Elephas maximus indicus: one gene and its partners. The protein of the gene in region 1 interacts with the protein of each later gene in a pairwise test. Links are inferred from orthologs where the notes say so. Each region holds a gene or a part of one and is shown in the gene's direction. Other genes may lie near its edges. The genes, in order: TXLNB, WASHC3, CEP57L1 and LURAP1.

Region 1 (7,151 bases):
ACTAGAGATCAAGAAAAGACCATTGTTTTAGGCAAGTGGGCCATTGGTAACCTTCAAGCGTACATTTTCCTTAGGTGGATAGGGCAGATACAGAGGTCTGCAGTGAGAGGCTGTAGAGGAAACTAGCATAAATATTCCTTAAATAATTTTTGTGATGAAGCAATGAGTTATAGTGCTTGGTATGTGAAAGGGTCAGTGAATCCTCAAAATAACTCTAAAAGGTGGGTATAGCTATAATCCTTATTTACCAAGTGACTAAACTGAGACACAGAGTTTAAGTAATCCACTCAAATTTATACAGTAGTCAGTGGTAGAAATATGTTTCAAACTCAGGAAGTCTGTCTCCAGCCACAGCACAAAGGAAAGAAGAAATGAAGGACAACATTTTTGTGTGCGTTAGTTTTTTTTTTTTTTTTTTAATGATAATGGAGATTTCATCATTTTTGGAGATTGAGTCAAGCCAAGAAGAGAGAATAACTGAATAATGAGATTTATAGGAAATAAATGATAGGGCAAGATGTTTAGAGAATGGGATTAAGAATAGAACCCTCACCCCTATTATTTGAAAGAACAAGATGATGTCCAGTACCAAAAAGTTTGCCTCAAGATCCTCACTGTCCAATATGGTAGCCACTCATCACATGTGGCTATTTAACACATGTTATGTGGTTAGTTTCAATTGAGATGTAGTGCATATGTGAAATATATACTAGATTTTGAAGATTTAATACAAAAAAAAGAATCTAAGATATAATATTGATAAGTTTTGCATTATTATATGTCAAAATGATAATATTTTAAATACATTGGATAAAATAAATATATTATTAAAATTAATTTCAGTTCTCTCTTTTACCTTTAAAAAAAAATTCTGACTCATGGCAACTCCATGTGTGTCAGGGCAGAACTGTGCTCCATATCGTTTTCAATGGCTAATTTGTTTGGAAATAAATTGCTAAGTCTTTTCTTCCCAGATGCCTCTGGCTGGACTCTAACTTCCAACTTTTTTGTTAGCAGCTGAGCATGTTGACTGCTTGTGCCACTCAGGGACTCCAGCGTTTTTAAGGTGGCCACTAAAAACATAACACTGAATATGTGGTTCACATTCATGGCTTGAATTCTATTTCGATTGGACCATGCCGCTCTAGATGTTCACATACACAAACTAAGCACAGAAGACAGTGCACAAGGGATGTTTATTTTTGTTCTCAGTTTCCAGAGAGCCCTTTTGGTTTTTCTTTTAGGCTTCTGAGCCACTTTGCCAGTTTCAGGGTCTCATATGTCTTTCCTCTGGACCTAGATGGGAAAAAGGAGAACAGGCCCCTTCAGGTCCTAGGCATGGGAGGAAGTGTTGAAAGGCACAGGCATGAAGAAAAGGAAAGTACTGTTTCCCATGTAGTCTCAGGGTAAACCACCTACAAGATAAATAACCTTTCTACTGGCAATACTGACCACCTTTTGGAATAACTTCAGAGTGTTATTATCCCATAGTATTCTTTCTCTCTTTTCTCCACCTTCACCAAAACTTCTTCTGTTCTTTCAGTGTGGTGTGGGCAAACATAAAAGGGTGGAAAAGAGTTTGAGGGCGGGTGTATTAGTTTCCTTTTGCTGCTATACCTGTTCACCACAAACTTAGTGGTTTAAGATAACACAATTTATGTTACAGTTTTGAAGTTTAAAAATCCAAAATGGGTTTTACTAGGCTAAAATCAAGGTGTCACCAAGAATGCGATCTTTCTGAAGACTCTAGGGGAGAATACACTTCTTTGCCTTTTCAGTTTCTATAGGCTGTCTGCATTCCTTGGCTTGTGGTGTTGCATCACTCCATCCTCTGCTTCTGGTATTACATATGAGGACCCTTCACTTACAAGAAGCCTTGTGATTGCATTAGGTCCACCTGGATAATCCAGGATAATCTCTCCATTTTAAGATCTTTAACTTTATTACAGAATGGAGATTCCAGAACACTTAATTGTGCTCATGATGAACCTGTACATAGATCAGTTGTTCGGACAGAACAAGGGGATACCGAGTGTTTTAAATTCAGGAGAGGTGTGCATCAGGGTTGTATCCTTTCACTAACCTATTCAATCTGTATGCTGAGCAAATAACCCGAGAAGCTGGACTACATGAAGAAGAACAGGGCATCAGAATTGGAGGAAGACTCAGCAGCAACCTGTGTTATGCAGATGGTACAACCTTGCTTGCTGAAAGTGAAGAGGACTTGAAGCACTTACTGATGAAGACCGAAGACCACAGCCTTCGGTATGGATTACACCTCAACATAAAGAAAATAAAAATCCTCACAGTGGGACCAATAAGCAACATCAAGATAAATGGAGAAAAGATTGAAGTTGTCAAGGATTTCATTTTACTTGGATCCACAATCAACAGCCATGGCAGCAGCAGTCAAGAAAGAAATCAAAGATGCATTGCATTGGGCAAATCTGCTGCAAAGCACCTCTTCAAAGTGTTAAAAAGTAAAGATGTCACCTTGAAAACTAAGGTGCACCTGGCCCAAGCCATGGTATTTTCAATGACATCATATGCATGTGAAAGCTAGACAATGAATAAGGAAGACTGAAGGAGAATTGACACCTTTGAATTGTGGTGTTGGCAAAGAATATTGAATATACCATAGACTGCCAAAAGGATGAACATATCTGTCTTGGAAGAATTACAACCAGAATGCTCCTTAGAAGAAAGGATGGTGAGACTGCGTTTTACATACTTTGGACAGGTTGTCAGGAGGGATCAGTCCCTGGAGAAGGACACTGTGCTTGGTAAAGTACAAGGTCAGTGGAAAAGAGGAAGACTCAATGAGATGGATTGACACAGTGGCTGCAACAACGGGCTCAAGCATAACAATGATTGTGAGGATAGTATGGGACCAGGAAATGTTTCTGTGGTACATAGGGTCACTATGAGTTGGAACCGACTCGACGGCACCTAACAACAACTTTATCACATCTTCAAAATCCCTCTTGCTATGTAAGGTAATGTATTTACAGGTTTCAGGGATAAGGATATGGGTATTTTGGGGAAGGCTATTATTCTGCCTACCACAGTGGGTGTCACTATGCCCATCTGGTCCCCAAAACAGGAACACCAGTGTTCCTGTTCTGGATCTGTTTTAAAAAATCTGGGTGGATGTGCTTTGGAAAAGTGTGGGAACACTTTCTCCAGAAACAGAAAGAAAAAGGGAATGGATGTAGGTTGAAAGAGAGGCATTTTATGATGAATGAAAAGGAGATTCTTTTTCTAAGGAGGATGAAGGAACAGACTGAAGACTTGAGAAGGGTGGGTAAGACTTGGAAAAGCTGCTGTGGAAGGTGGGAAAGCTGCCCACTAAGGTGAAAGAAGCAGATTGCTTCCCTGAGGGCATGTCGCAGATGAGAACAGTTACCTGAGTTAGACAATGTGATCTGAGATCATGCCATTTACCAGTTGTTGTTGTTGTTGATGTTAGGTGCCTTCAAGTTGGCTTAACCAGGGGGGCCTCAAATTATAAACATGAAGACAACATTAAACATGGTTCTAAAATACCCATCTAAATTTGTCTCTCAAATTTTACGAACAAACCGAACAATGTCATCAGAATCAAAGTGGTCCTGCCATCTCATTTTTGCCATGCCATTGTTATTCTTTTCCCACGATTCCTACAAAAACCTGACACTAACGAGGCTAGCATAAGAAGGTAGGAAAAAAAAAGAAACATGAATCATAAACCACGGTGGAAATAAACCAAGAAATAAGAAAAACTGATCTCTGCCCCAAAGAACAACAATAGCAAAAAATTACACTAGCAAAAGGGCCATTATAGACTCACAGTTTAGACTTTTAAAAAGACAAAACATGGAGGATCTTGTAAGATCTACCGGCTGCTTCTCTTTTCTACGACATTTCCCCGTGAGACGCCTACTGAAGCTTGGGTGTATTTCTCTCTTGCTGTGTCATACAATGCTCCTTTCCCCACCCCCTCCTGTCTGCTGCCAGCGTGGGGTGTGTGTCTGTGTGTGTGTGTCTGTGTGTGTGTGTCTTTGGTTTCTCTCTCCCTTGTAAAAACGTGGCCTGCCTCCTGTCTGCTGCTGCTGCTGCTGCTCTGACTTGCTCTTTGCTGCCTCTTTCTTCTCCTTTCTCTTTCTCCTTAGCTCCTGGCTTTCCGGTAAGTATGATAAACACCCCCCCTCAAGCTCTGTGAGAAGATGCGGGGTGCGGTTTGTGTTGTTCAAAACTGGCAACTATGAGACTGCCAGTGAACTGTTGAAGAACTTTCCATTGTTTTATTTATCATTAAAATGTGTTGCTCAGGCAGGGATGTGTGTGTAAGAATCTGCTGGGATTGCCAATACAAGTGAAGAATTCTCTCAGAGGAAAAAAAAAGAAGTAGAGAGTGAAGTTTGCATATGATAAAATTTAGAAATACTTCTTTCTGCTGTAAAATTAATCAGGAAAGAGATGATTTAAAAGTAACAAGGTGCCTTTGAATTTTTTTTTTCCTGTCTTTGATTTATCTTGAGACCACTTTTAGGAGTTATGTTGTCCAATAATTTGCAGTGACTCCGTTATTGTTTTAAGGTAAATGTGGAACAGGAGATTGAAGGATATTCATGGAATTCATTATTTAAAAAAAAAAAAACAGCAATGATTACGGCCTCTGATGAATAACAAACAAATCAATACAAATAAAGCCCTTGCATTTAGACTAACCACACCTAAAACTCCTATGAACTGCAGGCTTTTTATTACTTGCTTTGATGTTTGGATTACTCTAAATTTTATTTCGTTCTGAGACAACCTCCATAACACTTTAAAACCCACACATAGGCTTAAGCCTGTGCATGTTTACAGTATTCAATTGATATAAAAATTATTCTCTTCCCTTGATTTTCAAGGATAGAGTGCTAAACATCATGACTCCTTTTAGAAGAGCTTAAAATAACTTCTGGCTGGACAGCAGGTGCCATGTGTCTTTCTCCAAGTTTGGGAGGGAGGGGTGGGGGAGCGTGGTAGCAGGCATAAGTTATATATAGATGAACGTACCCAACAAGTAGAGGTCAGAATCAAGAAAATTCCAGTGATGAAGGCAATGAAGCTGTTTACTGCATCATTTGGTAATAAAGTTGGTGAATTCAAATGGGTGGAAGGAAAATGTACTTCCTCCCAAGTTAGTAAATACTTGCTGAGTGCCACAGGTGGGTGGCATAGTCTGTGTGTTGAACTTTCTGTTCTTTTTGGCGTGCAAGCCTTTGACATCTACAGCGCTGAGAGTGGGAGAAGGAAGCCGTGCAGTGTGTAGATCAGTGTTTTCTTTCTTGTGCTACCACAACAGCAAAACGTATGCATTTTGAGGATCCCGCCATGTTTTTATGCTGCTAATTAGCGGTCTCACAGTTAAGTATCATTTACAAATCAAATGTACCATAGCTTAAAGATCTAAGCCAAGTCCATCGCAACCTCGTTCAGAAATGCTGGAATCTTTAACTCATCTTGTCCCTCACCCTTATTTCCTAAGAGCCCATATTATATCTGGATTTCTTCCCTACTTTATTCCCTCCTTAGTCATTAAACATAGCTGTTTCATAAAATTAAATAATGTATCCTAGTGCTTCTTGACTGAATAGAGAAAGTGATCTGTTTTTTTCTAAAAGAAAGGCATATTTTATGTAGGAACAAAAGGTATTATAGAAATTCAAGGAATAATTATGATGAGCATCACCATGTTTCCATACTAGTTGGTTTGCTTATTTATACCTTCCTTCATGCTCCGCCTGATTCCAAAAATGATGCTAGCTTGAGCCTCAGCAAAACTGTTTGCTGATCGGTAATTATATGTTACTTATCCAGGAAAAAGAAAATACCAGAAAAGCAAGAACATATATATCCAATATTACAATGCATTTACATCAAAATATTCATATTAATCCAATTTTGATTTACGGGTTAAAATAGAGTTTCCAGTAAACCCAGTGCCGTCGAGTCGATTCCAACTCATAGCAACCCTATAGGACAGAGTAGAACTGCCCCATAGAGTTTCCAAGGAGCGCTTGGCGGATTCAAACTGCCAACCCTTTGGTTAGCAGCCGTAGCACTTAACCACTACGCCACCAGGGTTTCCAAAATAGAGTTTAGGGATGTTATTATTATGAATGATTTTTAGTAAGTCCAATGGCTCTTACATTGAATGTTTTGACTTTTAAAAATATATATACACCATTTTAATTGAAATATTTTAAATATATATGTCCATTTACTTCCAATGGCTGCGACTCTACATAGAATTTATAAGATAAGGATGACCACAAACATACTATTCCAAGCCAAATGACAAATACAGCCATGATGAGCAATAGCATGGATTACCCTTTTAATGTTAACAGTAGGGAACACTACTGTAATCTAAAGGCCAAAACCAAAAATGTGCTGGTAGTATGACTTGATTTGGCAAAATAGCTTCCAGCTGTTCCTACCTTACTGATCGTAGTCTCAATTGTTCATGAAAATGCATTCGTTCTTTGTTAGAAATAGTAATTAATAGACACCCATTTGGGGATAGCCTATTTACATTTAACTGGGTTAATTACATTAACCCTAACTGTGTTTACCACTAGATACTACTCTAAGTATGGAGACTAATCAACCTGTACAAGTCTCAGAGGAACCACTTCCAGAGGACAGTTCCTCATCGTTACCCGGTCAAAATGGCCCAGAGAAGCCAGATGGCCAGGAGTTCTCAACTCCACTCCAAGCATCAGAGAAAGAACCAAGTGTGCAACCTGAAAAGGGAGCTCATGATATCTCTGAAGAGTTGAATCGACAACTGGAAGACATCATAAACACATATGGGTCTGCTGTGGGCACAACAGGGAAAGAGGGTGCTGCCAAAGCCAAGGAGCAGCCTGAAAATGCAGAATTGCCTGAGAACGAGGATGGGGACTATGAGGAAACCACTGAAGAGACCGAAAGAGAACCCACTGCTCCTGGGGAGCCATCTGCAGCCAAAGAGTCTGTCAGCAATAAAGAGCAGAAGTTGGAAAAGAAAATCTTAAAAGGATTAGGCAAGTAGTTGTGTTCTAATATATGAATTTCCTTTTTTTAATTCTTCTTTATAAGGGGTACTTCCTCCAACCATTACTAAAAGCCACTTTTGG
Region 2 (7,684 bases), on another chromosome or scaffold:
TTCAACTCCCCTTCTTGTACACTTTGCTTCAGCCACACTGGCTTCCAGTGTGAGATTTGGGCTGGATATATAAATGTAAAAAACATTACAGGTTGGGAAAATGAGGAGAAACCAGCCAAAGGAAAATGAGAAGAAGTAGCCAGAGTGATAAAAGGAAAACCAGAAAAGAGTAATATCCTGGAAGGAAAATGAAATTTTCAGGCAGGAGAAGGTGATTAACTTTGTCACATGTTGCTTATCCAAGCTAAATAAGAAGAAAGAAATGATCAAAGGATTTAGCATTATGAAGGTTATTGGTGGCCTTGAGATCACCAGTTTTTATGGCATAGTGGGCTAACTGGAGTAGGATTAGGAGAGACTGGGAGGAGAGAAATCGAAGGGAGTGATGGTGGACAATCTTGAGGAATCTTTCTGAAAAGGGTAGCTGGAAAGGGAAGGAAGTGGAGTCAAGACATTTATGTTAAGACCAGTGAAATAATAGCATGTTCGTATTCAGCTGGGAATGATCCAACGAAAAGGGAAACATTGACGATAGAGGAGAGAGTGGGGGCAATCATTGGAGTGATGTTTTTGTTTTGTTCTCAAGTAGGTGAGAAGGAATAGTATCTAGTACACAAATAGAGGAATTGGCTTTATATAGTAGGAGAGATTATCCATAGTAATTGTAGGAAAGGCAAGGTTTCAGGGCTCAGATGTGGGTTGAAAAGAGATGTGGCAGTGGGAGCTTGTGACGGTATAACCTCAAGAGAGCATGAATTTAAAGTGAAACAGGGTCTGGTTGAGGCCAACCGGTATTAATTGTATACAATTGGTACAGAAGAGACAGAACATTCCATTTACTACGTTTTTGCCAGGTAAGTATGATGAAGGGAGGGAGGGAAAAGTTTGTTGGGTGATTATAATGAATCATAAGATCTAAACTGGGTAAAAAAGGAAGTGAGGATATAATGAGGTTATGGTACAGTGAAAAAGCTTTCTCGTGATGGCTCGAAGAACTGTTAAAGTCAAGATAACAGAGAGAATGAGCTCAAAAGATCGAAAGTACCGACCAGACAGTGGATCCTTCAAATTAAGATTATGGAGAGAGTGAAGATATTTGGCAATGAAAAGTTCTGGAGAATGCCCATGGAAGAGTGAGTGTGGCTGAAATAAGAAAATGGAGGACAAGAGCACTAAAGGACAGGAGTTCAAGGAACTGTGAGACCAAGTGTCTTAGTTATCTAGTGCTGCTGTAACAGAAATACGACAAGTGGATGGCTTCAACAAAGAGAAATTTATTCTCTTACAGTCCAGTAGGCTACAACTACAAATTCAGGGTGTCAGCTCCAGGGGAAGGCTTTTTCTCTCTGTTAGCTCTGGAGGAAGGTCTTTTTTTTTAATCAACCTTTTCTTGGTCTAGGAGCTTCTTTGCGCAGGAACCTTAGGTCCAAGGACGCGCTCTGCTCCCGGCACTGCTTTCTCGGTAGTATGAGATCCCCATGTCTCTCTGCTTGCTCCTCTCTTTTATATCTTAAAAGAGATTGGCTTAAGACACTATCTAATCTTGTAGATCTCATCAGTATAACTGCCACTAATTCATCTCATTAACATCATAGTGATAGGATTTACAACGCATAGAGAAATCACATCAGATGACAAAATGATAGACAGTCATACAATACTGGGAATCATGGCCTACTAGCCAAATTGACAGATATTTGGGGGGAACACAATTCAATCCATGACACCAAGGTACCAGAAAGATTATGTTCGCAGATATTGAAATCCCACAAGTTATGATAATAGTGTTATAAACAGTGGCAGTGAGACAAAAAGTAAGGACTCCAAGGAAAGAGTAGCAGTGACCTAAAGGTCTGTAGAGGGATGCTACAAGGTATCTTTCTATATAGGATAGCATGAACTCAGAGCTGTGGGGCATTTTTAGGGGAAGGAAAAGCAATGGTATGGAAGCAGTGAGGATGAACGAAAACACCTCCTAAACTAATGATTCAGGGATGTGGGCAAGAAAACAACTACAGGCTGCACAGGAAGCAGTATCCTTAATAAGCAGGCAAGTTAGAGCAGAAAGAGAGGAATGGTCAAAGAAGACGTTGAGAAAATGGGGATTTTGCTAATGACTGAGTTCCAGAGGGCATTGTGAAAGGATTTGTTGAGCTGGTGAGAGGCAAGAAAAGGCTTGTAGAAATCAATATGAGGTTGGAAGTCTGAGAGATAACTTAGGAGTCCAGGAATAATTATGATGACCTCAAAGTGCAGAGTGATAGTGGAGGAGGAAAGGGTGAGGACTCGCCAGGAGCAAGCAGAGCTCTGGAACGAGTTCAGTGGGAATCCTTGCTCCTATTAAAGATGGGGTGGAAACCAACGGAGGGGCGCTTTTACAGGGGAAATGTAGGTCTCTGGGGCTCAAACATCAGTGCCTTCACACATGTTGATACTCTCTGTGGAATGTTCCTCCCAATCTTCTTCATCTTGCTTATGTTTGCATCTTCAAAACTCAGCTCATGCATCAACTCCTTCAGGAAGTCACCCCTAATTTCACCAGCCTGGGTTAGGTGCTCCTCTTTGGGGCGTATTTTAGCCTAGTTTTTATCACACTAAATTTTTTTTTTTTCATTTTTCTGTCTCTCTTCCTGGACAACTTAGTATCTGTTTGTTAACTTGTTTATTTTCTGTTTATCTACGTGAAGGCAGGAATTGTGTGTTCTGTTAACTGTTGTATTCCCAACTCATATCATAGTGCCCTGGTGGCTCAGTGGTTAAAGTGATTCACTGCTAACTGAAAGGTTAGCGGTTCGATACCATCAGTGGCTCTGTGGGAGAAAGATGTGGCAGTCTGCTTCCATAGAGATTTATAGTTTTGGAAACCCTACGGGGTCACTATGAGTCGGAATTAACTTGACAGCAGTGGGTTTGGTTTGGTTTTGGTGGCACATTGTAGGGAACATCTGTTCAAAGAATGGATGGGTGGATGAATCTTCAGTGCTTGATACCATAGTTGGATCATAGTAGAACCTCAAAACTGTGTATTAAAATTATTAATGAGTTTTCATTGCAAAGCAGAGCAGCTGGTACTAACTGAGGAGTCATAAGAAATGAAGAAAATCCTTCAAAGAATTTACAGTCTAATGGAAAAATTTAGGCTCATGTAGACCTTATCAAGGTGAAAAGACAAAACAATACAGTTGCCTACAACTGTCACACTATTTATCTTATTTATAGTTGTAGTCTCAGTACTCCAGAACCCTTAATTGTCCTCCTAAGGAACTTGTACATAGACCAAGAGGCAGTCATTTGAACAGAAAAAAGGGATACTGTGTGGTTTAAAATCAGGGAAGGTGTGCGTCAAGATGGTATCCTTTCACCATACTTGCTCAGTCTGTATGCTGAGCAAATAATATGAGAAGCTGGACTATATGAAGAATGCAGCATCTGGACTGGAGGAAGACTAATTAACAGCCTGCATTATGCTAATGATACCTTGCTTGCTCAAAGTGAAGAGGATGTGAAGCACTTACTGATGAAGATCAAAGACTACAGCCTTCAGTATGCAGTACACCTCAAGATAAAGAAAACAAAAATCTTCACAACTGGACCAATAAGCAACATCATGACAAATAGAGAAAAGACTGAAATTGTCAAAGATTTCATTTTACTTGGACCAACAAAAAATGCCCATAGAAGCAGCAGTCAAGAAATCGAAGGACATATTGCATTGGGCAAATGTGTTGCAAAAGACCACTTTAAAATCTTAAAAATCACAGATGTTACTCTGGTGACTAAGGTGTATCTGACCCAAGCCATGGTATTTTCAATCACTTCATAAGCATGTGAAAGCTGGACAATGAAAAAGAACGAAGAAGAATTTACCCATTTGAATGATGGTGAAGAATACTGAATATACCACGGACTGCGAGAAGAATGAATAAATCTGTCTTGGAAGAAGTACAGCTAGGCTGCTTCTTAGAAGTGAGGATGGCAAGACTTGTCTCATGTACTTTAGAAATGTTATCAGGAGGGACCAGTCCCTGAAGAAAGACATCATGCTTGGTAGAGAGTCTGCAAGAGAGAGAGGAAGACGGTCAACAAGATGGATTGACACAGTCGCTGCAACGATGGGCTCAAAACTATAGCAATGATTGTGAGGATGGCACAGGACCACACAGTGTTTGGTCAGTGTTTCATTATGTTGTACATGGGGTCGCTATGAGTCTGAATCAACTTGACAGCACCTAACAAGTCCCAGTAGAGTACTAGAACATGAGAGGGACTCAACAGATTTGCTGAAAGACAACAATTAAAAATATTCGATGATACTCAACTAGTTATGGACATGAACCCCAAAAAAACCAATGAAACGATAAGCATTTAAAAGTATTCTTCATCCTATCCATCTTCACTTCCACCTCTCATTTCTAAGTGTGCAAGAGTGCAAAGCTCTTTCCAGATCACTGTAAGAATGCAATTCCTGATTTTTTTTTTTTTTTGGCCCCCTTTTCAAGATTTTACCACCAAAACCTCAGCCTGGTTCAACCCTGCGGCCCCCAGTCTGACGTCACAATCTGGACCTAGAACTACCAATCCCAGAATGCTGAGCTCAGGGGCGGGCTCGCGGGGAGTCGCCGAGTGATTGGCGAGCGGAGGCATTTTCTTCCGGCGGAAGGGCTGAGGAGGCGGGGATTTGTGGAGGTGTCTGGGCGCTATTACCGGGTTGGGCGGGCCCTGTCTGGGAGGGGTCTGGAAGAGAGCCCTGGGTTCCCCGCCAGCTGAGGAGATGGATGAGGACGGGCTTCCTCTCATGGGGTCGGGCATAGACTTGACCAAGGTTTGTAAAAGACGGAGTTGAACTTCCGGAGACCGGGGAGGAGGACGAGGAAGGGACTCCCCGTTCCCAGAAAGACCCCACTTCGCCAGGCCCCACCTTGTACCTGGCCCCGGGCCCCTCTTCTGCTGGCCTCGGGAGGGAGTCTTCACCTTTCACCTTGAAAAGGGGTCCCTCCAGAGCTGATTAAGGGGATGTTGTGCCTCTCCCAGCCTTCGCTTCCCGGGTAACGTGTCTCTGTGCCCGGAGACGAGCGACTGGCGACTTGGGCCCGTTGCGACCTCTTAACCCTACCTCTTTGATTCGGCCCCCACGTGTTTTTGTGTGTTTACCTGTGTTGCCTTTACCTGTAAAATTTGTGAATCCGGAGTCAATTCTCAAAATTTTATGTAGCTTCTATCGTCTTCGGACCCCCCACCTCACAGTTTATGAAAACAAGTTAATGACGATTGTCAATACTTCAAGAAACTCATATCACACAGCAAGACGCCCTGTTCCTATGCCCATATGTCAAAGGAATTGCACTGTGTACGTTCCTCCGGTACGAATCATGTTTGTTTTTACATAACACAGGTGCCAGCTATTCAACAGAAAAGAACGGTGGCATTTCTAAACCAATTTGTGGTGCACACAGTACAGTTCCTCAACCACTTTTCTACAATTTGTGAGGAGGTAGGTCCTGTGATGTTGGTTTATAGAGTAGCCTAGAAATCACTTTGCTTTTTTTGAGGATGGCAAATGGAGTTAAAGAAGAATCACTCTGTTCAGATTGGCCTCTTGTCACCCAGTTGTTTTGTTAAGCTAAAGTCAGTCCTGCACTCCACCTCTGCTGAATAGTGTTTTAAAGGTCTTTGGAAGATAGTTCAGTAAGACTTATTGTGGTTAAAAAAAAAAAAGCTTATTGTGATTAAAGAGAATAAAAGGAATTCCAAGATTTCATAGTTGAAAACACTTGTGATTTTGAAATTTGTTACATGTGCTCTTACCCAGATATTTACATTTTTAAGTATATATTGTTTCAGTTTATTTTCAAATTGTTTTACATTCCTTGATCCAAACTGGAGCCCTGGTGGTGCAGTGTTAAAAGCTTGGCTGTTAACCATAAGGTTAACAGTTCAAATCCACCAGCTGCTCCTTGGAAACCCTATGGGGCAGTTTTACTCTGCCCTGTGGGGTCCCCATCAATCTAAATCCACTGGACAGCAACAGGTTTGGTTTGGTTTGATCCAAAAGATGCCCTGGAGAGGTAGCCTAGAAAGCTAACTTTGGCATCAGATGTCATTATGGAAATAAGAATATTTTCTGCAGATAACTCGTAAGTGAGGATTAAGTACCAGATTAAGGAGTAGGTACCAAATCCAGGGATTCTTGTTCTTAAAAAAAAGATGGGTAAGGCAAATTGGAAACATGGCTTGAAATTAAGTTTAAGAAAGAAGAGAGAGAGGTAAATCAGGGGGATTAGATAATTCACTGGGGCTTAGATAGTTAGGTGAGTTGATTGATTAAACAATTTGAAGTTCATTCTGTTTCATATGAGGTAAATAGCCTTAGCTAGTAGAGTGTTACATGTATTATTGTTACTACAATTTTTATGGAGATAGGAAAACTGTTTTCAGCGGATAAGATTCCTGCTGTTGTTTTTGCCTACTTATCAAAATCTTTTTACCGTCTCATTAAGACAAAAGAAAATAAAATATGGTATGATATGCCAGTTGATAGAGTCAGGGGATCAAAACAGTGTGTTTTATCTAACAGCAGGTCCAGAGCCTAGGTGCTTGCTTCCATGTATTTTATTTTGTACTGTGCCTTTCTAATTGGAGATAGAATTGACTGAATAAAAAGCAGTAAGCCAAGGATTTAGCCCTTCACTTTTTATACCAGAGTAGGGTGAAGTATCTAGGTGGGGAGTATCTCAGGATTGTTAATAGAGAGGAGCAGATACTCCATCCCTATATGCTTCATCACCAGATTAAAAAATAGAATAAACAACAACAAAACAAGAAGTAAACACTCTTGTGAAAGCAACTTGATTGAGCTGCTCTAAGGCAGGGATAACCCCTCCTCATTGTAGTACCTAACAATTTTCAAAGCCTGGAGAGTGTTGTCTGTTTGACAGCTAAAGCAAAGATAACAATAATCATCACTTACTTACTGATTGCTTTTAAGCCTCATGCTTCACAAGTTTCCCCCATCTGTTCCTCTCTCAGCTTCTCCCCCAACTGTTTTGGCTATGTCACTACTTCCTAGTTCTTCGTGAACTCTGAGAAAAAGCTTATTGACCAAAAACTCAATAAGTTTAAAGTAGTTTGCCTCTTTCTCCTAAGGATGATAACCTGTGGTTGATTGTAAGTCGTATTTTACAATTCACTTTAGAGGTTTGGATAATTGTGTCAGTTATAGATATGTTTGCTCAATGTGATGACAGTAAGGAAAAAACCAAACCTGTTGCTGTCGAGTCAATTCCAACTCATAGTGACCCTATAGGACAGAGTAGAACTGTCCCATAGAGTTTCCAAGGAGCACCTGATAGATTCAAACTGCCAACCTTTTGGTTAGCAGCTGTAGCTCTTTACTATGCCACCAGGGTTTCCGTAAAGACAATAACTAATATTTATCATGTGATTATTCTGTATTAGGCATTGTACTAAGTGCTTTACGTGATCATCATCACAGCCCAGCCATTTGAGAGAGGTTCAGGTATCCCAGTTACACAGAAACTGAGCTGTAGAAAGGCTTAAATCATTTGCTTAGACATTTATTCATTTGTTTGTTCATTCATTCATTCATCACTGGCTGCTGTATAACTTGCCCACAGCCACACAGCTAGAAAGTAACAGAGCTGGGATTCCATCTCTGGTCTATTAA
Region 3 (7,471 bases), about 34 Mb from region 1:
TGTCATCTCCTCAGGAAACTCTTTCCTCATTATCTAAAATTAAATTTTTTTGTTTACTTCTTTACGGTATGTCTCTCTGGAGTAGAATGTCAAAATTGTTCACCACTGGTCCCCAGTTCTTAGAATGACATTTACCAGAGATTCAATAAATATTTGTTGAATGAATGATGTAGGCACAGAAACTCACTAATCTGTTAACTTCATCTACTGAGACTGATAAGAAACAAAAAGAAGCCAAATACAGGTTTGTTCATCCACTAAATATTTATTTAGTAGCTTTCAGGTCTCAGCCAATACTCTTGAGAACTCACAGCCCTGACTGGAAAGACAGACACATAAGCATGTGATTACCCCATAATAACGAAAGCATCTATTATAATTGTGGCAGGAATAAGGTGCAATAAATACAAAGATGAAAAAAAGAGTATAAATCTATAGGAAACCTTCACAGTAGAAGAGACTCTTGAATCTTTTTCAAGGATTAATGAGTCTTAAAATAAATATCATATAGTTCATGCATTTTACTTAAGAAAAGGGAAAGGAGCATCTACCATATGCTGGGGCACTTTACATCTCATTTAATTCTCACTATTTTTTTTTTTTTGCTCTATATTGTTATTCCTGTTTCACAGATGTGGAATTCCAAGTTAAGGGAGGTCAAGTAACTTGCTCAAGATTACATAGTACATTAATGTTGTATCTCGTTGAGTTGATTTCAACTCATAGTGACTCTATAAGACAACTGCCCCACACGGTTTCCAGGGCTGTAATCTTTACAGAAGCAGATTGACACATCTTTCTCCTGCAGAGCAGTTGGTGGCTTCGATCTGCTAACCGAAAAGTTAGCAGCCGAGTACTTAACCATGGTGCCACCAGGGTTCCTTAGTACAATAAAAAAAACAAACAAAAAAAAACCTATTGCCATCAAGTTGATTCTGACTCACAGCGAAAGTAGCAGAATTTGAGACTAGGTATGTCTGACTCTGGAAACCCTGGTGGTGCAGTGGTTAAGTGCTACGGCTGCTAACCAAAGGTAAGCAGTTCAAATCCGCCAGGCGCTCCTTGGAAACTCTATGGGGCAGTTCTGCTCTGTCCTATAGGGTCACTATGAGTTGGAATCGACTCGACGGCACTGGGCTTGGTTTGGTTTTTGGTATGTCTGACTCTAGTACCCATTAAAAAAAAAAATTACTGTTTAGTCATTTCTCACTAATGGCAACCCCATGTGTGTCAGAGTAGAACTGTGCTCCATAGGGTTTTCAATGGCTGATTTTTCAGAAACAGACTGCCAGGCCTTTCTTCAGGGGCTCCTTTGGGTAGGCTCCAACCTCCAACCTTTCGTTTAGCAGCCGAGCTTGTTGACAGTTTCCACCACCCAGGGACTCTGGTACTCACTTACCACTACATATCACAGATCTTTGGCCCTGTACTCCCTTCAGAACCTACATATTTCTATTTTCCAAATAACTCTTAACAAAACTGATTATCTGGTTTCCCAGCCTAATAATATAAATATGCGGGAAAATGATTCAGGAAAAGACCAAAGTGAAGTATGCAGACAGAAAGAGAAGGCACTGAAAAACTTTAAAAATTCAAAAAATATATCAAGATGGCATTTCTCAGTGTAGGGTCATACAGTCCTATACACCCCACCTTCTGTTTTACAACAGTGCTTGGTGTGCATCATGATGAGCCCATTACAAAAAAAAAAAAAAGGTTGTTTCATCACTACAGTCTAGGGCCAGAGAAATAACTTTTGATGCCTAAGAGGGTAGACTTTAGGTATCTAGAAAATTAATTTCTCTGTGGTACCTCTGGACAAATAAATTACAATGATTGTTTCCAAATTGTTCTTGGGAAGAAATATTCCAAGATCTACATAGAGTCTTAATTTTATGGAAATGATTATTTTTCTGCTGCTTTAAACTAAATTCAAGCCAGTATAGAAAACTGTTCATCTTAGTTTACATATAACCAAAAACCAAACCCACTGCTGTTGAGTCGATTCTGACACATAGCGACCCTATAGGACTGAGTAGAGCTGCCCCATAGAGTTTCCAAGGAGCGCCTGGTGGATTCGAACTGCTGACCTTTTGGTTAGCAGCCGTAGCACTTAACCACACACCACCAGGGCTTCCTAGTTTACATATATCCAAGTAAATTATAAATTTAAAAAATTTTTCATAGTATGACTTTGAAGAACACCTGTGGATTAAGTAACTTATAGATTGACAAACATATATAAACAACATTACCGAACATTCTTAGTATCTAAAGGCAACCTTTTGCAAAAAAAAATTCTAATAAATAATGTACGAAATGGGGAAAACTAAATATTTTTAATCTGCTGCACTCACAATTTAAATAAATATGTATGTGAAAAATAAACAAAACATGCAGGCAAATACAGAGAAAGTTGGCTGAGTAATTTACCATAAAAGTGTTCCCATCATATATCCTGCCTGGGTTTTGAATTCCTTTATAACATGGGCTTTAATTTTTTTTTTATATAATTCTTTTTAAAAAAGGAAAGCTTACATTTAGAGAACACACCCTGTGTTTTGTTTGTTTTGTTTTTAAGAACAAGAGAAAATTGTTTCAGCAATTATCCTGAACAAGCAGACTAGGAAACATTGAATATCCTCTTATCATTTTGAAGGTTTTTATATGGGACACTTCCCACCCAGAACACTGTTTGTAACAATGGGAAAAGTACACTGGCTCTGCTTCACAACAACGTGAAAAAGTTAATATCAGGAAAAGCCAAGTCTTTACTTGCAATTAACTGTAACTATCACACACACAAAATTTTTTTTTATCACATATATTTGAGGAATGCAGTTTCTGCCTAAAACTCTCTAGAAAGACAATACTTTGTTTACTTATATTTGAAAATTGCTTTTTACTTTAGTTCATTTTTTTCCAATTTTAACCCAAAACTCTATTTTAAGATGATTAGAGTTTACATCATGACGACGTATTAGAAGTAAACACAAAGTGAATAACTGCAAGTAAAATTTTGGTGTACTAGATAGACGGCATTATTTATAAAGCTTTCCTTACCTGGACGCTCTTCAGAATAAACTCACTTTTCTCTCTTACATCTTTAAAAGGACACCTCTTAGAAAGCATGAGCAGATGAGCAAGAAGTTTATTCAACCCATCCGAAGAAACAGCATTTGAAAGCTCGTGTGACGGACGATGTGGTGTCTCTTTAACGGAACGAAAATACTCGGTTTTCCTCAAAATTATTTGCCTAATGTTTTCCAGTGCTATCTCTCTGGTACTTGAATCTCTACTGCACAGTCCATCCCATCTCATTTCATTCTCTCCTTCAGCCATGTCAACTTGGAGCTTTTCTTTTTCAATCTTCAGTTACCTTTCACCATGTCTGCAAAAGCAGTTTTTATTTTTTAAATCAGAAATGTAAGAGTAAAATCAGAGAAATCGAATCGTCAAGAAAACGCACGTTCGGGTGACATTTGGAACCGGTTGTCTCTTATACGGATGATTTCCACCGAGTTACAAAACAGAGCTCACCCTCTGGTTCTACACTGGTCAAAGACTGAAGGGAAAAAAAGTTGGAAGGTTGCAACCTTACGGCGCTGGCTGTGCTGGAGAGGGACTCTCGGGGAAGTGCTGTCCTTCGTCTCGCGGGGTCAGCGGATATCCTCACGACGTGGAGCTGTCAAATCCGTGCTATGCCCAGAAAGGCTGGTACCAGTTGAACACTCTCCAGTCATTCGGGGGTTTTTGTCAGTGCAGGCACGGCGGTCACCGGAGCGTTCCCACCCCGCCTCTCCGGCACCAGTCCCCGCCCTCCGCAGCTCCTCCTTGTGCCCCAGCGGCCCGCTGACCGCCAGCGGGGACGACTCGCCGAGCCCTGGCCCACGGGCCGCGGCGGTCGGAGACTTGAGCGCTCCAGGGGGCGGGTGTCTTCTGCAGATGCAGTCTCCGAGGCAGTACTGGAGGAGAGCGCCCTCGGCCCCGCCGATTCCCGACCCTCAGGAAGACGCCGCTTCTTCTCCGATCCCTGCGCCCTTGCCCACCGCCCGCCAAGCCAGACCAGCACAGGGTTGCCCCGCACCGGGCTGGGCCGCAGAGCTGGCGGTGCGGCAGAGCCCCAGGCACAGAACCCGCCCCTTCGTCCAGCCCCATCGGTGGGGATCGGCCCAAAGGGCGGGAGCAAGGAGGGGAGATGGGGTCCTCACCCCCAGCCCCTCCCCTTTCTCCGCCCGGCACAAACCAGGAGCCGCCCCTGCCCCTGCGCCCTCTTCCCCGCCCAGGCAGACGCGACCCGCGAAGGCAAAAAAAAGCCATTGGAAAAAGCCCCGCCCTTCGCCCTGCTACCTCCGGACCCCAAGCCCGCGCGCGGCCGCCAACGGCTGCCGGTTCTTACGCATGCGTAACCTCAAGGACGGTGCATGCGCCTTAAAGGCACTTAGCTTCTTCACGGTTCGTTTTCTGTTGTCAGACGTTTGGTGTTGGAGTGGAGAAAGGGGAAAAAATTAAGTACGCTGAAACTTTATCAAAGACAAGCAGGGTAAAGAAAGACGACACGGAGCACTCCTGGAAGAAACAGGCTAAATTTAAGATTTGTCTAAAAATAGTAACGGCCTCTTTATTAGCCCGAACCCCGATTTAAGGAGGCAGGGTGTCCTCGCGTTGACTTCTGGGAAACGTAGTTTTTATTCTGCGGGTGTTTTGTTTGCGACAGAAACTACAACCCCCAGGGACCACCGCGACTTTGCCTGTGGCGGCCTACAAGCCAACGGTTAGGCAGCGCGGATTGACTGGATCGTCGGCTTGGTGAGCACTGTAGGCTTGGCTGCTTTCTTTCCTGGCTTTCTTTGACAAGATTTTTTTTTTTTCTTCCTCCTTTTTCCTCTGGGGTTTTGGAGACGAAGCCATCCAAGGCTGCTGCTCAGACAGTCCAGGGACTTTTTCCAGTGACCTGAGTAAGAAGTACTAGTCCAGGTGTCTAAGCTCCTGCGCGTGGTGAGGCGAGAATTTGGAGGTCGCGATCCCGAAGTTGGGAGTGAGCGGCCTTCTTTAAGATGCAAAAAGGATGAAATGAAAACGGATGCTCCGCGCAGCTGTCCCTGCGTTTGCCCTCTGTAGTGAACATGCGCGGGATGAATCAGACACCCCCGTGCAATTGAGCGGAAACCCTGGTGGCGTAGTAGTTAAGTGCTACGGCTGCTGTCCTAGAGGTCGGCAGTTCGAATCCACCGGGCGCTCCTTGGAAACTCTATGGGGCAGTTCTACTCTGTCCTGTAGGGTCGCTATGGGTCGGAATCGACTCGATGGCAATGGGTTTGGTTTTGGGTGCATTCGAGCCTAAGCTTACCTCTGTGTAGAGATAGTCTTCAAATGAATCCCAAGTAGGGCATTGAAAGCGACTTGTGAAATCCGTTTCGAATGAGACTAAAAGAAAAACAATCTCCAACATTCGTAGATGATAAGAATTCTTGCAGGCTTTAACGAGACCATATGGGGGGAAAAAAGACCATATTTAAAAAGTCATGCCACTTGAGAAAAGTCGGGGTTTGAAAGCCCATCAATGAACTGATAAGATTAGAATTAATTTTTCACGTTGCAGAACAGATCCAGTTCTAAAAATTTAACATTGTAGGCACGGTCTAAACAGTGAAAGAGACACAGTCCCTACCTAAACAAAAACAGAACTATGTAATAGTGTTATCTTTGGAGTGTCTAGAAAGAGGGCCACCCAGCCAAGTCTTGGAAGTCGAAAACCAAACCAAACCCACTGCTGTTGAAACGATTCTGACTCATAGCGACCCCATAGGGATAGGGTTTCTGAGGCTGTACATCTCTACGGAAACCAACTGCCACATCATTCTTCCAAGCTGCTGCTGGTGGTTTCCAACCTCTGGCCTTTGGGTTAGCAGCCGATGGCTTTAACCACTGCGCCACCAAGGTGCAGTGGAGTCTCTTTCCCAGGGGAATTGGGGGCCAAAGAAAGAGCATATGCTGAAGCCCAGAAGCGAGAGAGGTATGGAACTTTAAAGAAACTGCAATAAGCCAAATCACATAATTTGGGAGGGATGGCTTTTTGTATATTGATATATTTTGAAGCTGCAGAAAGACAGGTACTGTAAAATTTTCAGGTAGTTTCTCAAAGTGACCAATGAGTTGGTGTAATTTGGCAAGCCTGGAAGGATTCTAATGCTACTGGTTTAAATCAGAATAAAAATGGTTATAGCTATTATTTTAAGTGTGATTTTAAAAACAAAAAAACATTGCTTTTTTTGTGGGCTCATCCTTCTTTACCCAGCCCACAAAGGGTAAGGTGGTTTCTCAAGGCTAGCTTCCCTTTTCACTCCATAGTTGAATATGATCTCAACCATATGCATGGATTCACCAGTACCTATTTATTGCAGATGACGTCCAAATGTTTTTGGTTTTTGGTTTCCAAATGTATAGCTCCATCCAGGTTCACCTCTCAGCTTTCGTATATCCAGTTATCTCCTTAATATTTTTTCTCACGTATCTTAAAAGCACTTCAAACTCAGCATGCTTAAAACCAAATACACAGTTATTCCCTGTGAATCTGGTTTCCTTCCAGTGTTCCCTATCTTAGTAAAGGCCACTACCATCCATTCACTTGTGAAAATTTGAAAGCTAAGCATCATCCTTCATTCCTTCCTGTTGTTCATATCTCTATAGCGAAATTGTTAGCAAGTTCTGTCAATCTTATCTTCCAGATATCCCTCAAATCCACCCATTTCTCTCTGCTTTCAAAAAAACCAAACCCAGTGCTGTCGAGTCATTTCTGACTCAGAGAGACCCTATAGGACAGAGTAGAACTGCCCCGTAGAGTTTCCAAGGAACCCCTGGCAGATTTGAACTGCCTTCCCTATCTGCTTTAGCACCATCCAAATACTTGTTGAATACCTACTATATAACAGGACCCAGGGAATATAGCTCTGACAGCAGCAGAGTGTAGTGGCCTAGAAGCCAAGTGAAAGTGTTTGCCTTCTGCCAGAGAGCTTGCATTCTACTAGGGAGAGACAGACAATACATAAATATGTGAATGTATAGTGAATCAAATGAAGAAGACAAATGCTTTGAAGAAAAAACTTGAGAAGGGGAATAGGGAGTGTTGGGTTGTGGGGGTGGGGCTCACTTTTAAATAAGGTAATCAGAGAAGACCTAACCAAGAAGGAGGCATCTGAGGGGATCTGAAGATGCTAGGGGGAAGAACATTCAGGTGAAGAGAACAGCCAATGCAAAGGCCTGTGGGCAGGAGCATGCCTACACATTTGAGTTGTTAGCTGCCATGGAGTCAGCCCAGACTCATGGAAACCCCATGCATGACAGAACAAAACACTCGGTCCTGCATCATATCCATCATCAGTTGTGGATTGAACCATCATGATCTGTGGGGTTTTTATTGGCTGGTTTTCAGAAGTAGATTGGCAGGCCATTCTTCCTAGTTCATCTTAAT
Region 4 (7,840 bases), on another chromosome or scaffold:
CAATACCGGCAATAGTAATACTTAGAGAGTTGTTGCGAAGGTTAAAGGAGAAAACACATGCAAAGCACTTAGACTAATACAGCGGTTCTCCAACTTTAACTTGCAGCAGAATCACCTGGGGAGCTTGTTAAAATAGATTCCTGGGCTTAATCCTTAGAAGTTTTGATTCAATAGTCTAGGCTAGGGTGGCAGTTTGCATTTCTTACAAGTTTTTATTTGAAGTTAATGGGTGGTCACGGAACAATTGTAAGCAGGGGAGTGATATAACCTGATTTTTATTTTAATGGATTGAAAGGAGACATTAGAGGAAGCCAGAAGACCAGTGATAATATTTTTAAGTTCTTCATATTCTACTGGCTTCTTAAAGGGTGGGATGGTATCCCGCAAAATGTTAACTTATTTTAGGAATTGAGGCATTCGGTGGATTTTTTCTAATAAGCGTATATTAGAGCAGAAGAAAACCCAACACTTTTTACTAACATATTTAAAAGATGTCTTTGGGTTTCTACCTAACCCTCTTTTCACAAATTCTCCATGGACGATCTCACCCACTTTCATGACCTCTATTACCACCTAGACTTGTAAACTCATAACTGCAGCCCTAACCTCTCTCCTGAGCTCCAGGCCAACCCATGTGTCAACTAACTGCTGGACATCTTGGACAAAAAAAAAAAAAAACAGTTACGTTGAGTTGAATTCAATTTATGGCAACCCCATGTGTGCAGAGAACTGCTCCGTAGGGTTTTAAAGGCTGTAACCTTTCAAAAGCAGATCACCAGGCTTTTCTTCTGAGATCCTCCAGGTGGGTTCAAACCACCAGCCTTTCAGAGTGGGGCACTTAGCCAACTGTACCACCCAGGGACTCCAGGCATCCCCACCAAAAAAAAAAAACCAAATCCGTTGCCATTTAGTCGATTCTGACTCATAACGACCCTATAGGTCAGAGTAGAACTGCCCCATATGGTTTACAAGGAGCGGCTGGTGGATTCTAACTGCTGACCTTTCAGTTAACAGCTGTAGCTCTTAACCATTACACCACCAGAGCTCCCAAGGACATTTCCACAGGCCCCTCCAATTCATGACTCTGGCTGAAATCATCTCCTCCCACTCCCAGACCTCTTCTTAGGTTTCCTTCCTTGTTGAATCATATCAGGCCAAACAGCTGGGCGTTAGCCTTGGTTCCTCCTTCTCTGTCCAGTCCCCAGGCCAGGTCTGTTTGCTCACCACTATATTCTTCACAGGGGGCTCTGGTGGCACAATGGTTAAAGTGCTCAGCTCTAACCAAAAGGTCAGCGGTTCAAACCCAACAACAGCTCAGAGAAAATACCTGGCCATCTGCTCCGATAAATATTCACAGCCTAGGAAACCCTATGGGGGCAGCTCTACTCTGTCCCAGAGTCGCTCTGAGTGAAAATCAACTGAGCAGCACACAATAACATATTCTCTACACTACACACAATGGTTAGCACATAGTGTTGTTGCAGGGTATAGTGTAGAGAATATGTTGTTAGGTGCCATCGAGTCGATTTTGGACTCATAGTGACCCCATGTGACAGAACAGAACTGCCCCATAGGATTTTCTAAGCTGTGTCTTTACGGAAGGAACCCTGGTGGCACGGTGGTTAAGTGCTTGGCTGCCAACTGAAATGTCAGCAGTTTGAACCCACCAAAGACTCCACAGGAGAAAAGACCTGGCGATTTGCTCCCACTAAGATTTATAGCCTGGGAAACCCTATGGGGCAGTTCTGCTCAGTCCTATAAGGCCACTGTGAGTCAGGATTGACTGGATGGCATACAATAATTTTTTTTAATTGCATTTTAAGTGAAAGTTTATAATCCAAGTCAGTTTCTCATACAAAAACTTATACACACGTTGTTATATGACCCTACTTGCTCTCCCTACAATACGACAGCACACTCCTTCTCTCCACCCTGTATTTCCCATGTTCATCCAACCCAGTCATGTCCCCCCGCCTTCTCATCTCGCCTCAAGACAGGAACTGCCCACATAGTCTCATGTGTCTACTTGAGCTAAGAAGCACAATCCCTACCAGTGTCATTTTATGTCTTATAGTCCAGTCTAATCTTTGTCTGAAGAGTTGGCTACGGGAATGGTTTTAGTTTTGGGCTAACAGAGAGTCTGGTATCCATGACCTCTGGGGTCCCTCCAGTCTCAGTCAGACCATTATATCTGGTCTTTTTACTAGAATTTGAGGTCTGTATCCCACTTTTCTTGGCACACAAAAATTTTTCCAGGAGCAGATCTGCTAGGCCTTTTTCCTGAGGAGCCATTAGGTGGGTTGGAGCTGCCAACCTTTTGGTTAGCAGCCAAGCATTTAACTGTTGCACCACCAGGCCTCTTAGCACATTGTAGGCTCTCCATAATATTTGTTGAAATAACTTATTTGTTCTTTTAACAAATATTTATTTAATTAATTTTTTTTTATTTTGCTTTAAGTGAAAGTTTACAAATCAAGTCAGTCTCTCATACAAAAACTTGTAAACCACCTTGCTATATACTCCCAACTGCTCTCCCCCTAATGAGACACCACACTCCTCCTCTCCACCCTGTATTTCCTGTGTCCATTCAACCTGATCCTGTCCCCCTCTGCCTTCTTTTCTTCCCTGCAGACAGAAGCTGCCCACATAGTCTCATGTGTCTACTTGAGCCAAGAAGCTCATTCCTCACCAGTATCATTTTCTGTCTTATGGTCCAGTCCTATCCCTGTCTAAGGAAACCCTGGTGGCATAGTGGTTAAGTGCTATGGCTGCTAACCAAAGGGTCGGCAGTTCTAATCCGCCAGATGCTCCTTGGAAGCTCTATGGGGCAGTTCTACTCTGTCCTATAGGGTCGCTATGAGTCAGAATCGACTCGACGGCACTGGGTTTTGGTTTATCCCTGTCTGAAGAGTTGGCTTTGGGAATGGTTCCGGTTTGGGGCACACAGAAGGTCTGGGGACCATGACCTCTGGGGTCCCTTTAATTTCAGCCAGACCGTTAAGTCTGCTCTTTTTACAAGAATTTGAGGTCAGCATCCACTGTTCTCCTGCTCCCCCAGGGATTCCCTGTTGTGTTCCCTGTCAGGGCAGTCATTGGTTGTAGCTGGGTACCATTTAATTCTTCTGGTCTCAGGCTGATGTAGTCTCTGGTTTATGTGGCTCTTTCCGTCTCTTTGGCTTATTTTTACCTTGTGTCTTCAGTGTTCTTCATTCTCCTTTGCTCCAGGTAGGTTGAGACCAATTGGTGCATCTTAGATGGCCACTTGCTAGCGTTTAACGCCCTAGAGGCCCCTTACCAAAGTGGGATGCAGAACATTTTCCTGATACATTTTATTATGCCAATTAACCTAGATGTCCCCCGAAAACATGGTCCCCAGGGCCCTGTCCCTGCTACTCTGCCCTTTTGAAGTGTTCAGTTATATTCAGGAAACCTCTTTGCTTTTGGTTTAGTCTAGTTGTGCTGACCTCTCCTACATAACTAATATTTATTGAATGCCACCGTAAATAAATGAATGTAACCAGTCACCAAGTCCTGTCAATCTTACATCCTAAAGAGCCCCATTCTGGTCTGATTCTTTCCAATCTCACAACCAGTCTGCTAGTCCAGGCTGTTTCAGTTTCTCATCTTTTAACTGGCCTCCTGGACACCAGATTTTTACCCCTTCAATCCTTTTTCCTTGTGAAATCCAGAGTAAGCTTTCAAAACTACAAATGTTTTTTGTCAATCTTTGACTTAAAGCCCTTCCATGGATGAAGAGACACTGTCTAAAGAACAGTGTTACTTAAAATCACAAAGGTAACCATTAGATGAACTAAAAATAGTGATAGAAGTATAAAGGACCATTGGAGGAAGGGAAATAGAGAGTATAAGTTATATCCATATTTATAATAGGAAGTCAGTAGACAATGTTTAAAATCAAATAGTAATAGTATAAGCCTACTGTTTAGAATTATGGGTTAAACACCAGGAAAAGAAAAACAACAACAACTGAAAGTGGTTGCCTATGGGGTATTGGACTAGAGGTGGGAAAGGAAAGCAGGAGTAATATTTTCATTGTAAATCCTTTTATAACCATAGACTGGAATTTCTTGGTTTAAACTAAAAAAACCAAGCCAAATTAAAAAAAAAAAAAAAGTTTTTAGTGGCTCTTCATTGCCCATAGAATAAAACATAACCTTGCTACTCAAAGTGTGGTCTGTGAACCAGTGGCATGGCCAACACCTGAGAGCTGGTTAGAAATACAAAATCTCAGGCCTCACCACTTACAGAACAAGATTCATAGAAGATTCATATGCACAATCAAATTTAAGAAGACGGATTTACAAGAGCCAGCATAATTTGGCCCATGTGGACCTCTCCAGCTTCAGCACTGTTTGCTTCCTCACTGGCCGGGAGGGCTTTCATTTCTGCTCCTTCTCTCTTGAGTTCTAGCCACGGGGCTAGTATTGGAGTGTGTGTTCCAGTGACTAGCTAAATCTAGACAGTTTTAGACCCAGCTCCTCTGCTCCAGGAAGCCTTCCAAAATCCTCTGCAGCCCTCTGCTACCGCTGTCCTTTAACCTTCCACATCCCCGACTGAGAATGCTTAGCCTTGATTCAGCACGCATTTATTGCGCGCCTGCTGTGTCCCTGGCTGGATTCAGTGCCCGAGTAGGGAGAAGACGTGGAGTTCTCCTAGGTACCCTTTCAGGTACAAATCCAGTATCGGCCAGCTCGACACATTCCAGGGCTAGAGGTTGTGTGCGCAGCACTCGAATATATACCTAGATTTGCGCAGCTTTTCTGAGTGTTACGGCACCTTCCTCCCGCCCCCCGCGCCGCGCGGGCGGGGACCCACCCGGTCGGCTCCGCATAGGCGCGGGAGACTGGCGGTCCCTTGGGAACAAGACCCCGGCGTCCGGTCTCCAGCACTGCTCAGGCTTGGGTCCGGATGGAAGGGGCCGCGGAGTCCCAGAAGCCTGACCTGCGAGACGTGGAGGGCAAGGTGGGCAGGAAGACCCCTGAAGGGCTGCTACGCGGGCTGCGAGGCGAATGGGAGCCAGGGACCCCTGGCGCCCTGCTGCTCCCGGGGGCAGCTAGCACGGGCCATGGCCTGGGGGACAAGATCATGGCGCTGAGGATAGAGCTGGTGAGTGTCGGCTCCACGGGCCAGGGGGTCGGAGTATCCTGTGTAGGGCCGGAAAGGACTGATTGATGCCCCCAGAGTTGGGCTGGAGAGGAGCGAGTTAAAACCCCTCACCTACCCCTCAGGACCCCACCCAAGTCTTTTCACAAACCCTGAGGCAGAGGTGGATTGATCTCCATTAATTGCCCCCGCAAGGGTAAGTGGGGTGTTAATGGGTCCTGAGGACTTGGGGTGGGAGGCACAGACTCTAGGAAGTTATCCTGTCAAATAAATGGGAGTGGGAAAATGAAGTCTGAGAAGCTACTGAGAACCTAAAAAAAAAAAACAAAAACCCACTGTCACAGTGACTCATAGTGACTCTAGGACAGAGTAGAACTGACCGATAGAGTTTCCAAAGAGCGCCTGGTGGATTCGAACTGCGGACCTCTTGGTTTACGGCCGTAGCACTTAACCACTACCCACCAGGGTTTCCACTGAGAACCTACGAGAGCACAAATCCACACAGGGACCACCTGTTTCCACCTCAGCCCCCTTTATAGGACATCCAGTTTTTTTTCTCCCTCTCCAAACTGGGAGCTTCTTGAGGACTGGGAAGGGGTTTGGTTCATCTGAGGCTCCAGTATTGAGGACAGGATTCAGCACCGAAGAGATCTGGGTGAGGGCATATCTGCTGAAAACTGCCTGGACCAGGAGCACTAAAAACATTCTCCCTCCCTTTGCCCAATGTCCCCACTTCCCCCTTTCCCGCTTGAAATATTTGAAAGTTCCTAGAACCATGACAGACACAGAGTAGGAGCACCATCAGTGTCTGTTCCCTCACCTCTGACTCAGTCTCCTACCCCAAGGTACACTGGATACTTGGATCCCATCTGTGTCTCCCTGGGGAGAAGATGAGGAAACAGGCACCCTCATCCCTGGTGCTGCTGGTCTAGATTCAGAGCCAAAAGGGCAGCTACCCGCTTCCCCCCACTCCTCACAGACTCCCCAGGGTCCTGGTTCCTGAGCAGGTGGTGATTTACACCTGCCATCACTTTGCAGCTAGTTTTAGGGATCTGAGAAATTGCTGGCCAGTCCCTGGCCCAGAACCAGGAGCCCACAGTGAGTGTGTCAGCTAAAAAGTCTTCCTGGAGCCCCACTGTGTGCCAGGCTGTGCTGTGAGGGATGGAGGGAGGAGATCACAGGGCTCCCAGACCAGTTAGGGTTCTTACCTCCTGAGAGGATAGGAGAGCCTTGTGGGCGGAGCAGTCAGGGAAGGCTCCCTGGGGGAAGGACCTGAATGCCAAGGGTGCACTTGGCCTTGAAGGTTGACTCTGCTAACCTGAGGCGCAGGGTGGCTGGGGGTTGGGGAGGGCTGGCTTTGCCTTATCCTACAAATAAAAGTTAACTTTCAGTGAGTGCATGTGCCAGGAATCATGCAATACTTTACGAGATATTATCTTAATCCCCACAGCATTCCTATTACATAAGCGATATTTTATGGATGAAGAATCTGAGGCACCGAGAGGTGAAATAACTGCCCAAGGTCATACAAAAAGTAAACAACAGAGCCAAGATTTGAACCCAGGTGGTCTGACTACACTTTACATCTTAACATTGAGACCTGCCTTGTGTCACATGCTTTAAACACATTGTCATTGAAGTGAGAAAGGTAGTCATCATTTTCCCTGTCACACAGCTATGGAAACTCTCTTGGAGATATTAAGCAGCTTGCCTGAGCTCAGGCAGGAAGTCAGCAGGGGAGCCATGCCTAATCACTCTTTTCTGCCTGTATTGGAGACTACTGTCCATGAACTTGAAAGGAGGTACATTTAACTTTTGATTTGTCTCTCTGTATTCTTAACTTTGCCTGGCCAGAGGCTGGAGGGAGGGAGTCTTCTGAGGGCCAGAACAGGGAGAGGCTCCTTATAGACACCCACAAATCCCTACCCCAATCCTTTCTCCCTCCTCAGGCCAGGGTGTCATTGATCCCTTCATGCACTCTGCCGTGACCACTGGCTTGGGCTCAGGGAGGACAAGGGGTGGGGCAGAGGGATTTCCCTTGGAGCCACTGGTGGCAGGACTGGTCCAAGTCCTGTAAGGACTGTCCTTCAACTGACCCCTTCCCAGCTGTCCTTACAGGGAGGAGCAGGCCTGCCTTTGAGGCCAAGGTCAGCTCTGCCTCTTCCCTCATGCCTCCCATCTCTATTCAAGGGTTGAGAGAACCAGCTGAAGTCTGGGTTATGTGGGAAGGAGAAACAATGGCAACATCCCCTTGGTCCTCCCACCCAAAGAACTGTTTCCAGGACAACCCACCCCCACAGAGCAGCTTGAGGAAAAGCTTTTAGGCCAGGAAGGTGAAGACATGGGTTTGAGATCTGGCTCTGCTCCTGAATTCTTTTGTGGTCTTGAGCAGGACCCTGTCTTTCTTCTTCCAGCCTCAGTTTTCTGCCTCTGGGAATAGGGGGTGGGATTTTGGAACTAGGTACTCTCTAAAGGCCCTTCTAGTAACAATGATCTGAGAATCTCAGTCCACAACCAGGATGCTGGGAGTGGGATCTCCAGGCTTTTACCCTAGAGTCTGATTTGGATGGAGCAATGAGGTAGCCATATCCCGTTATCCCAGGGCTGAGTAGAGAGTCTAATGTGTACATGTTGAGGGGAGGGGGTAGGGTGATTCAGAGAAGAAACCTGAATCCCCCTTGGAAAAGAATCAAGTTGGGGTGGCCTCTGAGGCTGC

The links.
Region 2: the proteins of TXLNB (region 1) and WASHC3 interact in binary tests that used the Homo sapiens proteins (3 or more experiments, as listed by UniProt). The two-hybrid records come from large-scale screens. The link is inferred for Elephas maximus indicus from reciprocal best matches to the Homo sapiens genes TXLNB and WASHC3.
Region 3: the proteins of TXLNB (region 1) and CEP57L1 interact in binary tests that used the Homo sapiens proteins (3 or more experiments, as listed by UniProt). The two-hybrid records come from large-scale screens. The link is inferred for Elephas maximus indicus from reciprocal best matches to the Homo sapiens genes TXLNB and CEP57L1.
Region 4: the proteins of TXLNB (region 1) and LURAP1 interact in binary tests that used the Homo sapiens proteins (3 or more experiments, as listed by UniProt). The two-hybrid records come from large-scale screens. The link is inferred for Elephas maximus indicus from reciprocal best matches to the Homo sapiens genes TXLNB and LURAP1.

Annotation. Positions count from the first base shown.
Region 1 is NC_064819.1:209,102,570-209,109,720, reverse strand, and holds the start of TXLNB (beta-taxilin), read left to right. Parts: upstream 1-4,136; 5' UTR 4,137-4,165; intron 4,166-6,611; 5' UTR 6,612-6,625; coding exon 6,626-7,058; intron 7,059-7,151. UniProt on the Homo sapiens protein: Promotes motor nerve regeneration. May be involved in intracellular vesicle traffic.
Region 2 is NC_064822.1:168,413,152-168,420,835, reverse strand, and holds the start of WASHC3 (WASH complex subunit 3), read left to right. Parts: upstream 1-4,672; 5' UTR 4,673-4,771; coding exon 4,772-4,822; intron 4,823-5,392; coding exon 5,393-5,491; intron 5,492-7,684. UniProt on the Homo sapiens protein: Acts as a component of the WASH core complex that functions as a nucleation-promoting factor (NPF) at the surface of endosomes, where it recruits and activates the Arp2/3 complex to induce actin polymerization, playing a key role in the fission of tubules that serve as transport intermediates during endosome sorting.
Region 3 is NC_064819.1:174,987,479-174,994,949, forward strand, and holds the start of CEP57L1 (centrosomal protein CEP57L1), read left to right. Parts: upstream 1-4,458; 5' UTR 4,459-4,809; exon of another isoform or gene 4,810-6,016; intron 6,017-7,471. Other genes in the region: SESN1 (sestrin-1), read right to left, coding at 3,064-3,342. UniProt on the Homo sapiens protein: Centrosomal protein which may be required for microtubule attachment to centrosomes.
Region 4 is NC_064821.1:88,831,301-88,839,140, forward strand, and holds the start of LURAP1 (leucine rich adaptor protein 1), read left to right. Parts: upstream 1-4,826; 5' UTR 4,827-4,929; coding exon 4,930-5,127; intron 5,128-7,840. UniProt on the Homo sapiens protein: Acts as an activator of the canonical NF-kappa-B pathway and drive the production of pro-inflammatory cytokines. Promotes the antigen (Ag)-presenting and priming function of dendritic cells via the canonical NF-kappa-B pathway.